Cricetulus griseus: one gene and its partner. The protein of the gene in region 2 interacts with the protein of the main gene of each other region in a pairwise test. Links are inferred from orthologs where the notes say so. Each region holds a gene or a part of one and is shown on either strand. Other genes may lie near its edges.

Evidence for each region.
Region 1: the proteins of Rpp30 (region 2) and Rpp14 interact in binary tests that used the Homo sapiens proteins (3 or more experiments, as listed by UniProt). The link is inferred for Cricetulus griseus from reciprocal best matches to the Homo sapiens genes RPP30 and RPP14.

The regions. Positions count from the first base shown.
Region 1 is NW_023276807.1:76,004,082-76,010,529, forward strand, and holds the start of Rpp14 (ribonuclease P protein subunit p14), read left to right. Parts: upstream 1-2,878; 5' UTR 2,879-3,081; coding exon 3,082-3,142; intron 3,143-3,159; exon of another isoform or gene 3,160-3,304; intron 3,305-5,364; coding exon 5,365-5,452; intron 5,453-5,545; coding exon 5,546-5,630; intron 5,631-6,448. UniProt on the Homo sapiens protein: Component of ribonuclease P, a ribonucleoprotein complex that generates mature tRNA molecules by cleaving their 5'-ends.
Region 2 is NC_048596.1:25,689,813-25,696,149, reverse strand, and holds the start of Rpp30 (ribonuclease P protein subunit p30), read left to right. Parts: upstream 1-2,205; 5' UTR 2,206-2,271; coding exon 2,272-2,353; intron 2,354-3,578; coding exon 3,579-3,634; intron 3,635-5,394; coding exon 5,395-5,451; intron 5,452-5,812; coding exon 5,813-5,887; intron 5,888-6,337. UniProt on the Homo sapiens protein: Component of ribonuclease P, a ribonucleoprotein complex that generates mature tRNA molecules by cleaving their 5'-ends. Also a component of the MRP ribonuclease complex, which cleaves pre-rRNA sequences.

The sequences.
Region 1 (6,448 bases), on a different chromosome or scaffold from region 2:
TGAAGTGTGAACAAAACCAGTGCATTAATGTATGCCGTACTCAAAATGTTCCACTAGGGGCTGTAGAGATGTCTCCATGGTTAAGAGCACTGAATGCTCTTCCAGAGGACCAGGGTTCAATTCCCAGCACCCATGTGGCAGTTGGTAACTGTCTGTGACTCCAGTTCCAGGGGATCTGGCACTCTTACACAGACATACATGCAGGCAAAACACCAATGCCCATTTAAAAAAAAAAAAAAGTTCCACTGGAACAATGCCAGGATGCCTACCATCAAAACACTCTGCTGGCTAGATTTATGTCAGCTTGACACAAGCTATAATCACAGGAAACAGGAGGAAATCTCGATTGAGAAAATACCTCTATAAGATTGGGCTGTAAACTGGGCCGTGGCGGTGGTGTTCACCTTTAATCCCAGCACTCAGGAGCAGAGGCAGGCGGATCTCTGTGACTTTGAGGCCAGTCTGGTCTATAAATCAAGTTCCAGGACAGCAGAGCTGTTATATAGAGAAACCTTGTCTCAAAAAATAAAACAAAAAAGATCTGGCTGTAGGCTAGTCTGTAGAGCTAATTAGAGATTTATGGGGGAGGACCCAGCCCATTGTGGGTGGTGCCATCCTTGCACTGGTGGTCCTGGGTACTATAAGAAAACAGATTGAGTAAGCCAGTAAGCAGAACTACTCCATGGCCTCTGCATCAGCTCCTGCCTCCAGGTTCCTGCCCTATTTGAGTTCCTATCCTGACTTTCTTCAGTGATGGACTATGGTGTGGAAGTGTAAGCTAAATAAACCCTTTCCTCCCCAACTTGCCTTTGGTCATGGTGTTTCATCACAGTAATAGTAACCCTGCATAAGACAAGTAACCGTGTACTTACTTGTGTGTTTTGGGAAGGGCTGAGGAAGGCTTACAAACATGTATGAGACACCACGATAGAAAGTTAAACATGCCGGGCGTTGGTGGCACATGCCTTTAATCACAGCACTCGGTGGGCTGGAGAGATGGCTCAGAAGTTGAAAGCACCGGCTGCTCTTCCAGAGGTCCTGAGTTCAATTCCCAGCAACCACATGGTGGCTCACAACCATCTGTAATGAGATCTGGTGCCCTCTTCTGGTGTGCAGATATATATGGAAGTAGAATGTTGTATACATAATAAATAAATAAAATCTTTAAAAAAAATCCCAGCACTCGGGAGGCAGAGGCAGGTGGAGCTCTGTGAGTTTGAGGCCAGCCTGGTCTCCAGAGTGAATGCCAGGATAGGCTCCAAAGCTACACAGAGAAACCCTGTCTTGAAAAACCAAAACACACACACACACACACACACACACACACACACACACACACACACACACACACACCCCCACACACACACACACAAATTAATGGTAAGTGAAATAGGATGGACTGAGAGCTGTAGTGGTTGAGTTAAAAGATAAAGATTTTCCACGAAATCCTGCATGTCACCAAGTGTATGTGACCAGATGGAAACTGACTTGGTATGTATAATTAAACATAGATACTTTGAAGGTGACTGATAACCTAAGAGAGCTATTTCAGACTCATAATTCATAGTGTCTGTTAAATATGCACCAGCTTCTTACAAGACACCTAATTCCTTCTACTGCCAAAAGAGTTTCTTACAACTCCTCAAGGAAGTTGGTGATGATCTATCTGTACAAGAAGTGAAGAACTGGATTCCAAGCCAGTTCTGGCAACTTCCAAAATCCAAACTTTTTTTTGAGAAAGAAAATGTCACTATCTAGTGTCAGTGTTAGTTTCCTCCATTTATTCCCCATCTGAAACAAGTCCTGTCCCCCCTGAGGGGGAAGGAGCAGAAGCCACATGACTACAGAGCATGGCCAAGACAAGAATGACAGAGTTTTAGGAAACAACAAATATTAGGTTCTTTTCTCAGTTATAGAGAAGGCCCCAACTGGCCTAGGCACAGGATTGGCTGTGCAAGGCATACATTTTATGCCCACTGCCATGTCTAGCTCAGGCCAAATCAAAAACATTTTTAGTAAGTACAAGCTGAGTGACCGCTGGTACCAAGGCATACAAGGCAGTGATAAGCCATCACACAAGTCCCCACACACAGAGATCACCTCAGACTCCAGCTGGTTTAAGATGGTGTAGTCTGGACATTACTGGCCAAAGCAGATAATCTGTAATACCACTTGTAATCATGATGGGGTGGGGGCAGATAATTTAACCTTTCCCTATTGGGATAATAGCTACCCCAAGGTTGTTTGAGGGTTCCATTAGATAACTTAGGTAAAATCTTTTGTACAATGCCTGGCACCAAGTAATATTAATTTGCTATTGTTACTATTAAATACACACTATATGTCACACATAGAGAGGGACTATACCTTATGCTCCTGAGCTCCCACCGCCCAGAATGGCGGCTAGCACATAGTGAATTCAGAACAAACTCTTGGTGAGTAAATCAAAAGTGGAATAACTTACATCTGGATACAGGAGCAGCTAGATCTTTCCATGTCAAGACAGAACTGTGTGATAGGAGCCATAAAGGGCCACTGACAGTGGATCTTGTCTGGTGCCTGAGAGATGTTCTTGAAGAGGACAAGGCTTAGATTTAGCTTAGTGGTGGAGGACTTGCTTAGCATAGATGAAGCGGTGGTTTTGATCCCTGGCACAGCGAAAGAAGAAAAAAACAAGGAAAATAATCTAAGAGAGGAGATGTTTGATATAAACTGTTGCAAATGAATGTAGAGATAAATGACCACGAAGATTGCTAGCGCCTAAAAAACATGCCACAAATGCAAGTTCCGGAAATGGGCGCCAGGGGGCGCTGAACCCATCGACCTCAGCCCGGCTGAGGACCATGCCACCGTCTAGGGGGCCGACGCCGAGCAGTGATGTCACTTCCGCTTGCGCGTCGCGTCTGTGGGGAGGTGCGGGGCGGAGGCAAATGTAAACACATCACATTTGCAGGCCCAGACTTGGGCTGCTGCGTGGGAACTCCGACCCGCGCCCGGTTCTAGCAGCGCGCAGGAGACAGGGACGCGGCCGATCCAGCGCCGCCGGAGCCTCTTAACGGCCCGCGGCCTGTGCGGGTGCGCATGCGCGAGGCGGTGCGGCTGGCAGGTCGGTCCGGGTTCCAGACGGCGGGGAAGGTTGAAGGTAGCGCACTCCCCTCGTGGTGGGCGCCAAGTAGATGGCGGTTGTTGTCGAGCAAGATTGCAAACCGCATAACTCTTAGAGCAGTAGGGGGCCGGGCTTCTTCCACGGCTGCTTTGCTCCCATGAGTCCCAGAGTTGTGTTTCGTGTGCTTCAATGTGCAAGGCACGTTTGAATCCGGTAGAAGCCATAGGGACTAAACATTGTTTTTCGGAGTACAGGCGTTGTGAGAGGCAGGAGGAAGGAAGTGGAGATTAGATATTCTGTAGTTCTGTTAGAATTTAAGGGTTGCAAGGACTGGGCAAGGAGGGGTTGGCGCCATCGTAGATCAGATTGAGCCGTGGAACGCATTGAGTAAGATGAAGGAGGCTAGGAAGTGTGAGACACGTGGCTACCGGCTTCTGGGTTGCAGAGAAACTAGTCTTAGCCGAGGCCAAGAGGAGGAGGAAGCCTAGAGTGTTAGGTCTCACAAGATTCCTGTTCTCTGGGTAGTGGTGGTGCACGCCTTTAATCCCAGCTCTCGGGAGGCAGAGGCAGATGGATCACTATGAGTTCGAGACCAGCCTGCTCTACAGAGTGAGTTCCTGGACAGTCAGAAGTCTGTTACACACTCTGTCTCGAATACCACCCCCACCCCCAGAGGAATTCCTTTTCTCCGGTCTGGCACTTAGACAAAAGCTGCCATTCCCTCTGGAATTTAAGACAGTTGAGTCATTCTCCACTTACCTCTGGCTAAAGGTTCACTGGGCTCCTCTTTTAACCTATGACTGTGGTGCTTATTAGCATATCAAGGGCTATGCTAGGCCCCCTCAGTCCCTGCTCACAAGTACCTATTACAGTTATTCTGGCTGACAAGTCCTGCTCCCTCCCCTAACCACCTCAGGCCCAGCTTTTCGTTCCTGTGTAACTCAGCTATTTGATTATTAACTCAGCTCTCTTGGTTCTTCTCTTCCTCTTGCTTCTCTTTTTTTTTTTTTTTTTTTTTCTCTTTTTGGTTTTTCAAGACAGGGTTTCTCTGTGGCTTTGGAGGCTGTCCTGGAACTAGCTCTGTAGACCAGGCTGGCCTCGAAGTCACAGAGATCTGCCTGCCGAGTGCTGAGATTAAAGGTGTGTGCCAGCAACACCGGCCCTCTTGGTTCTCTTGATTATTCACACCCTCTTTTGTTTCTCTTTTGTCCTCTTGGTTCCTCTCTCTTGCTGTCCCTGACTGTACATGAGGTCAAAGCAGGACCTCAAAGATTTCCACCCTACTCTGCATAAAATCAGAAGCATCACTACGTCTGAGCAGAGTTGTGATATGAGGCATTTTGGGTTTTGTTGTTTTTTTTTGGGGGGGGTGGAGTGGTGATGGTTCAGGACAGGTCTCTGTGGGTAGCCCTGGTTGTCATGCTGTCATGGATCTGTAGTAGGCTGGCTGGAACTCTCAGAGATCCACCTGCCTCTGCCTCCTGAGTGTTGGGATTAAGGGCATTTAGCATCACCACCTAGCTGTGATGTGGTTTAACACGTTCACAGCAGCCATATAGATTAGAGAGGGGGGCAGAAGATCAAAACCAAGTAACTTGCTAGCAACATCCCTGCAATCAGAAAAAGGTATCAACAGTGACTGTAAGAGGTATACATCTTGAACCTGTTGAGTATGATGCCAAACTACTGAGGACGATACTAGATTTTACTCTGAGAGCTTAAGACTATACAAAGTGACTCTTTAAGTCATCATTTTAAAGGTTAGTTTATTTTTATTTAATTGTATGGAGGATTTGCCTGCATTTGTATTTATGCACCATGTTGTTGCAGTGCCTAGGAAGGCCAGAGGAGGGTGTTGGATCCTCTGGAACTGGAGTACAGACCCTGTGGGTACTGGAAACCCAGCCTGGCTTCTCTACAAGAGCAGCAAGTGCCCTTAAAAAGAGTAAAATATACAGTGTGTCATTTTAACTTTCTTTTGGTCATTAAGGAAATATGCATTGTCATGTGACCATTAACCACCACCATTGTCTAACCAGGGTTACATAAAGTACTATAATAAGTCTTTAAAAGTCAAATAGGCTGGATGTGCTGACATTCTAGCTGGTGATCTCTGTCCTTCCTAGAGAAAGGCAGGAGGATCAGTTCAAGGCTAGCCTTAGCTATATAACAAGTCTTTCTCAATTTAAAAACACAATACTACTACTAATAATAATAAGGTGTATCTGGTAATTATGAGCGCTCTTGACTCCTTGTAGGAACTCCATGTTTGAAGATGCCAGCTACAGCATATGAAAGACTAGTTTACAAGAGCCCCTCGGAGTACCACTACATGAAAGTCTGCTTGTAAGTTCAGTCTTATAATGTTTCCCCCCACCCCAATCTGAAAAGCATGGAGTTTAATATGATAATTTCTCTTTTTAATATTTTTTTTTCCAGAGAGTTTCAAGAACACGGAGTTGGACTGAATACAGCCCAATTCAAACAACTGCTTGTTTCAGCCCTGAAGGACCTGTTTGGGGAGGTATGAGTTACTTGGCAGATTAAGTAAGATTCTTTAGGTTTTCATAAGACATTCTAGAAAAGGGACTAAGAGTATATCTAGCCCAGTGGTGAAATGATGGGTCATACCTGTCACTTGGGCACACACCTATCATAATTCTAGCATCTGTGATTCTACCCCTGGTAAGTGAAAGTAGAATAAGAATTCAAGGTAAACCTCCTCTACATAGCCGTTGGAAGTCAGCCTGTCTACATACTTTTTTAAAATGAAGAAAACTTTGTTGTTTGTTTGAGAAAAGTTCTCTGTATATCCCTGGTTGTCCTGCAGTTTGCTCTATAGAACAGGCTAGCCTTGAATTCACAGAACCACCTACTTCTGCCTCCCAAGCACTGGGCTTAAAGGTAAGCAACACCACTCCTGGCCTAGAAGAGTACTTTGTAAGAAACACAGAAATATCATCTTTTAAAGGTATACTGGAATTTGCAAAAGCCAACTTTCAGAAATAATGAGTTCTGGTAGGTTATTCCAGTGTGCCCTGTATTGACAAGGAACCTGGTAGGCCACGGTTTGTTTTTGCACAGCTATCAAATTATAGTCTAGATTGGTAATATCATTGCCCATCTTTGTAAAGATGAAGGGTTTATATGGGAGCTATCACACTTGAGTGAGAAGGTCTCTTTATAAAGCAGTGTGAGGGATGGCAAGATGTCCTGAGTTCAGTTCCTGGAACCCACATGGTGGAAGGAAAGAGCAGACTCTTGAGAATTTTCTTTCACCTCCACACATGTGCAGTGGCTCATATATAGTGCTCATATATAGATACATATACATATGTGTGT
Region 2 (6,337 bases):
GATAACAGAAACTACCACCACCACCATCACCATTACCACACCACCACCACCACCCTGTGGACTTCTTTTGAGAATTAAACCAGCAAGCAACAGGTCCTGTTCCATTTAAGAATTTCTAATGTTTTCTTCAAACTTTGCATCCTTGCAGCCTCTGCCACCCATTCAGGCCAATATTCGACCTTTTATTCCGTATCATTTCTCTATACCATCCTTTTCCCTCTTCGCACTCCTGCCTCCTCCTCTGCCTCCTTTTCCTTCCTTCCCATCCCCTGCTTCCTCTCACCTTCCTTGACCCTTTATTTCTCTTCATTTTCTCTCCTTTACCTGCCATCCACAACTGTCCTCTCTGCTTGCTTATCTCAGGAGACAATACACTGCGCAGCAACTGAGCCAAATGCTTCAACCCGCCATTATATAATTGCCTAATTCTTTGGTTGCTCAAATGTCAAAAGAAATAGATGTTGATTTAAGAAAAAACAATACTAATTGCTTTGAAAATTAATAAGACACACACACATAAGTACTTGCAAATGGTCTGCCCCAGTATAGTGCTCAATTATTTTCATCCGTTCATTTTATTTCTCACCCTTTCTCTTCCTCTTCAACAAAGCTCAGGGTATAGAGCAAAGGGATTCTAAATGGTGAAGTCCACAGCAACATCACCACGACTTTAAAACAAATATGTCCTCTTCAACCTAATCTCAGCATCAAATAATCAAAATTCTTAATCTTAACTTAGGTCCACTACACTATGGCCATACTACTGACCAATCCAGATTTTGCGATCATGTATGAAGATGCCTTTCTACTTGTACAAAAGCCAGCACTAGACATTCTGTTGAAAAGCCAGTGGTTTGTTTTGTATGACTTTGCTCTAGTGGCAGAAGTTGTTTTGCTGTTGTTTTGTTTGGGGGAAATACCAAACAAAACAACAATTTTTTTCTTTATGTAAATTAACCAAAGCTAGGTGTGGCAAAGCACAGCTGTGATCCCAACGCTCGGGATTCTGAGACAAGAAGATTGTGAATTTGAGCCCACCCTGGGCTACTAACAATAACCTGTTTCAAAATAACAATAATAATAATAATAAATATTCTCTCAAAAATCAGTAAGAAATTAGAGACCATTATGTTGAAGAGTATTACTCAAAGTGTGATCAGAGGGGAAGTCCTCATACTGTTTGCAATCAGTACAGAAATTGAAATGTTTCTAAACCTTTTCAGCACTTCGTTATTGTCCTAATGGTCAAGTCCTACTGATCGATAGACTTTTCTTATTTGAGAACCCAGCAGTTCAGATATCATATTACTGAGCTGCAGGAGGCTGGGGCAGCTTATTGGTAATGCATAAAGGATTCCCATGCTAGCCAGCCAGAGACAGAATGGAAAGGAGTAAAGAACTGCCCTTCTGCATCAAGTGGATTAAAAAGAATGCCAGCATTTTATGCCGTCGGATAATTGATCTGCCAATATTCAAAAGTTAATTTTTAAAGTAGAAACATCAAATGATATTGCAATATGTCTCATGAAAATTTGTGTATTGTCGCTAAGCTTTCATCTTTGAGAGTGCCCTGCCATCTTGTGGTTGTAGATGTTTCTATAACAGAGACCCATTATCTTAGGCTTAGCCCAAAGAACTAAAACAATCCGCCCCAGAGCAAGCGCTTCAAAGAGGCTTTTAAGCCCATTTTCAAAGAATGGAATGGACATTAGAGAAAGGAAAGAAAAACATTTTCCCATGTCTCTTCATGTGCTTATCAACTTACCTACTTTGGAGACTTATGTATCCCTCTCTGGCCTGGATGTCACCGTGTAGATCAGGATGGCCTCAAACTCATAGAGTTGCCTCAGCCCTCCAATTGCTGGAACTGAAGGCGTGGGCCACCACCCCAGGCTCACCCAGCTCTTGGAACAGGGCTTCACGACCTTAGACGTCTGCTTGATCTCAAAATGCTCTATGGGTGTGTTTAGAATGAATCACTTTCTACTCTGTTGTATTGGCGAGAGGGGCGGGGGGAAAGACCCTACTGTGTCTACCAAACATTCTCGTTCAAATCACGACAAAAAGGGAGTAAGTGAGGCTGTAGGTTCGAGCACACTAACTTTGGCTGGTTTCTAGAGGACAGGAAATACTGTGCAGAGAGTAGACGACTGAGAAGGGAAAAACCACAAATCCCAGGATGCCAAAGTGACAGCCTACAACTCCCAGCATGCTCGAGGAATAACAGGGCGACTGCGCAGATTGGCGCGCGGGTGCTCCTGGGACGTCAGCATGGCGGCGTTCGCAGATTTGGACCTAAGAGCGGGCTCGGACTTGAAGGCTCTTCGGGGACTGGTGGAGACCGCTGCTCACCGTGAGTCTACTGGCTTCGCCCCGCGAGCCCGGCCCCTCGCTGCCCCCATACCACCGGTTTGCTTGGTAGTTTTTCCAGGCCCTATTATTGGGTCTCTCGTGGGATTGCGGCATTTCCCTAGAGGCAAATGGTAGTTGCTATGTCTCCCGGATCCCTGGCGTGTGAAACTCACAGGCTACTGAGGAAGCTGCCGTTGCCTGGGCTTGCACAGTCTTTCCGTGCGGAGGGAGAGAACAGAGGCCAAAGGGGTCGAGGTGTTGGCAAGGGGGCTGTGAGCTGATGAATGGTAGGCTCTGGGACTGGACTCCAGGTGTACAGTCCCCTAAGCCGGTGGGTGCTTTTAACGTCAGTCCTTTTGGGCCCCGACGACATCTGACAAATACAGAAAGCTGGGTCGCAGGCAGGAACTGCTGTGGACTCTTAGAGAATGGGGAGGGTGTTACCTTATTTCTCCCGAGTTTTAAGTTCCTTGGGGATGAGCATTAATCATGTGTGCTGTCGCCTGCCATAGGGTCTGTCAAATAATGGATGCTCTAATAGCTTGAACTCGGGAGTTATTAGACTAGTTTGCCATTACCATGCACTATCTTTTATATTAATACTCTATCATCTTGTTGGTCTTTAGACAACTTAAAGACAAGAGTCGTGATTTAGATGTGTTGGCGACAGAGGCACTTTTCCAAGCAGTGCTAACTGTTGTGAGGATAAGGCAAACCGTCGTTTTCCCTGTCTTTTACTGTAGAGCACCTCAAAAGAGGTGTAAGGGATTCGTCCTTCCATTGCACCTTCGGGTAAGGGAGGAAATAGAGCATCGCAGAAGAAATGAATGATAATGAAGGTGACGGAAAGACACATAAACTTGATGGAATAAAAATGAACAAAGGGGCAGGAAATCCTGAGAATATTGTTTGGAAAGCAGAAACAAGGTGTTTTTAGTGTTTTGCTAGCATAAATCACAGCCTAAATATGTGCCTGGCACTCTTCTAAAATGCTTAATTTTCATGACACTCTGAAGTGCTGTCTGCTGTTAACATCACTTGACAGATGAACAACCTGAAACATAACAGTAAATATTATTAAACCCTCTTACTTTCCAAGTCTAGAAACAGAATCCAGGGCTTTGTGTATGCTAAGCAAGCATTCTAACACTTAGCTACATCCCTAACCTCATCTCATACTCTTGAACAAGAAAGAATATTTTTTAAATAATCTATTTTTTTTTCAGTTGGATATTCAGTTGTTGCCATCAATCATATTGTTGACTTTAAGGAAAAGAAACAGGTAAAATAAGATTTCTCTGATTAATTAGTAAATAAATATTAAGACTTTACAAGCCCAGCAGTGGTGGCACACGCCTTTAATCCCAGCACTCCAGAGGCAGAGGCAGGCAGATCTCTGAGTTCAAGGCCAGTCTGGTCTACAAAGCTACACAGAGAAACCCTATCCCAGAAAAAAATATCAAAAACAACATTTACAAATATTTGTATTTGTGTTGGGAATAAGGAACTAGAAATGTGGACTTGTTGCAATGACCACATACTTAACAAAAACAACACAAGGAAGGAGGAGTTTATTTTCTTATACTTTGAAGGTATGGCAGCAGGAGCATGAAGTGGCTAGTCACAGTTCCTCCTCGGTCAGGAAGCAGGAGATGAATGCTGGGGCTCAGCTCACTTTCTCCTTTTTAGTTAGTTCCCTTAGAACTCCAACCCATGAAATAGCTCAGTTTGCATTCAGGGTGGGTCTTCCCTCCTGGGTTAACCCTTTATGGAAACACCATTATAGAAATACAGAGGTGTGTTTCCATCATCATTTCTAAGTCCAGTAAAATTGGTAGTGAAGCATAAGTCATCACAAGCATGTTTGCGTTTTGAGACAGAATCTTATGTGTCCCAATCTGGCCTGGAATTCAACTGTGTTGCCAACGAAGACCTCCTGCTAAGATTACAAGCCCATGCCCAGTTTATGAGATGCAGGGGTAGAAGGCAAGGTGGTGTGCATTTTAGAAATCACTCTACCTCTACTTACTGAGCTGCCATGTGGCAAGTCTTCTCTGTACTGCTAGCTCCCAAATAGTGAGACTTCTTATTATGAAAACTTGGCCTTAGCTGAGGGTTGTTTCTAACTAGCTCTTATGACTTAACCCATTTCTGTTAATCATCGTGCTGCCATGTAGTTTATGGTTTTTACCTCTCCTCCTACACGTCATGCTTCTTCTGAGTCCAGCTGTGACTCCCCCTTCTTCCCAGAGTTCTCTCTGTCCAGAAGTCCCACCTATACCTTCTACATAGCTGTTGGTCATTTAATATTTATTAAAACACAGTGACATATCTTTACACAATGTAATCAAATACCTTGCAACACTGTGTCTCCACCCTCTCTACTCACTGGGCTGCATCCCCAACCCTCAACTATACTTCTTTAAAAACACCCTATGCTTACTCTTTTACAGTAATAACTGAACTAATATATATCATACAAATTCAAAGATGTTTAAAATTACATTGCTGTTAAATGAGCTATAACCACGATATCTTGTTACCATGGTCTTATTAACTCATTTACTGATTTTTTTCCCATTTATTTATTTATTTATTTATTTATTTATTTTTCCGAGACAGGGTTTCTCTGTGGCTTTGGAGGCTGTCCTGGAACTAGATCTTGTAGACCAGGCTGGTCTCAAACTCATAGAGATCCGCCTGCCTCTGTCTCCCGAGTGCTGGGATTAAAGGTGTGTGCCACCACCACACCTTTAATAGACTATCAAATACATATGTATGCATACTTATTTTTAATTAAACAACTGTACCTTATAGGTCATTTCTGTCTTTAAAAATTGTTCTTATTTTTATCCTCTGGTGTTCTGAGCATCTTCTCTGCTCTTTAGTTTCTTTCCTTAAGAAAGAAAAAGGCTGTTTAGTACATTTGAATACCAGAAATTAGCTTTTTTTGATTTTTTTTTTCTGAGATGCCCTTAAAGTGTTTTGTAGTGCTTAGTTCTTTAACATGTAACTAGGATTGCTGTTTATCATTTGTTGTAGGAAATTGAAAAGCCAGTAGCAGTTTCTGAACTCTTCACAACTTTACCAATTGTACAGGTAGGCGTTTTAGTGTTTAAGTGTAGTGTCTGCCCATTTAATTCAAACATCTCGCCTTCCTGTGGTGTTCTCTGCTTTCTGCCAGTTTCACCTTCCCATCAGGGCTCGTCTCTTCATCAGTTTTTACTGTCCATCCGAACTTTTTGGTATCCTTCCTAAAGTCCCACAGCTATTAAATTATCTCATTGTGTAGTTTACTAGATGTGCGTAGTATTCTCTTCTGCTAATATATATTCCTGTAGAACAAGCATGCTTTGTTGATCTGTACCGTCCTCTGTAAATTTTACTATTTTGTACTGGTTAAAAAAAGAAACAAATCAATTGCATTTTATCTTTTTTAATAATGTATTTTTGTTTATAGGGAAAATCAAGACCGATTAAAATTTTAACTAGATTGACAATTATAGTTACAGATCCGTCTCACTGTAACGTTTTGGTGAGTTTGTTGTTTTTCTACATTTGGCTTCTAAACTATATTAACTAACATTGTCACCTGTCATCTCACCCTGTTCTTCCACCACCTGTAACCCTCAAACCCATGACACCTTCCTGCTTTCCCTGTGTGTAGAAGCCGCACAATATAATGTGTCTCTTACAAAAAGTTAGAAGGTGCCAGCAACAGAGGAGAAATGTCATCAGTTATTCCAGCATTCACAGATTATACATTTTGAATGTACTTTTTCATTCTCATATACAGTATCAAGTTTGAGGTTTTCCCTGTTAAGCAGTAACTGTGTTTTACTGATATATTCTCCTTTCCTAGAACAGAAGTATTTTCTTATACATCTGGCATTTTAATTTTATTGTTCAGAATTTTCATTGTGAGCTTGTGTGTCACAGTCATGTGAATTACCCACAACACATGAAGTACTTTAGCTATATCTAG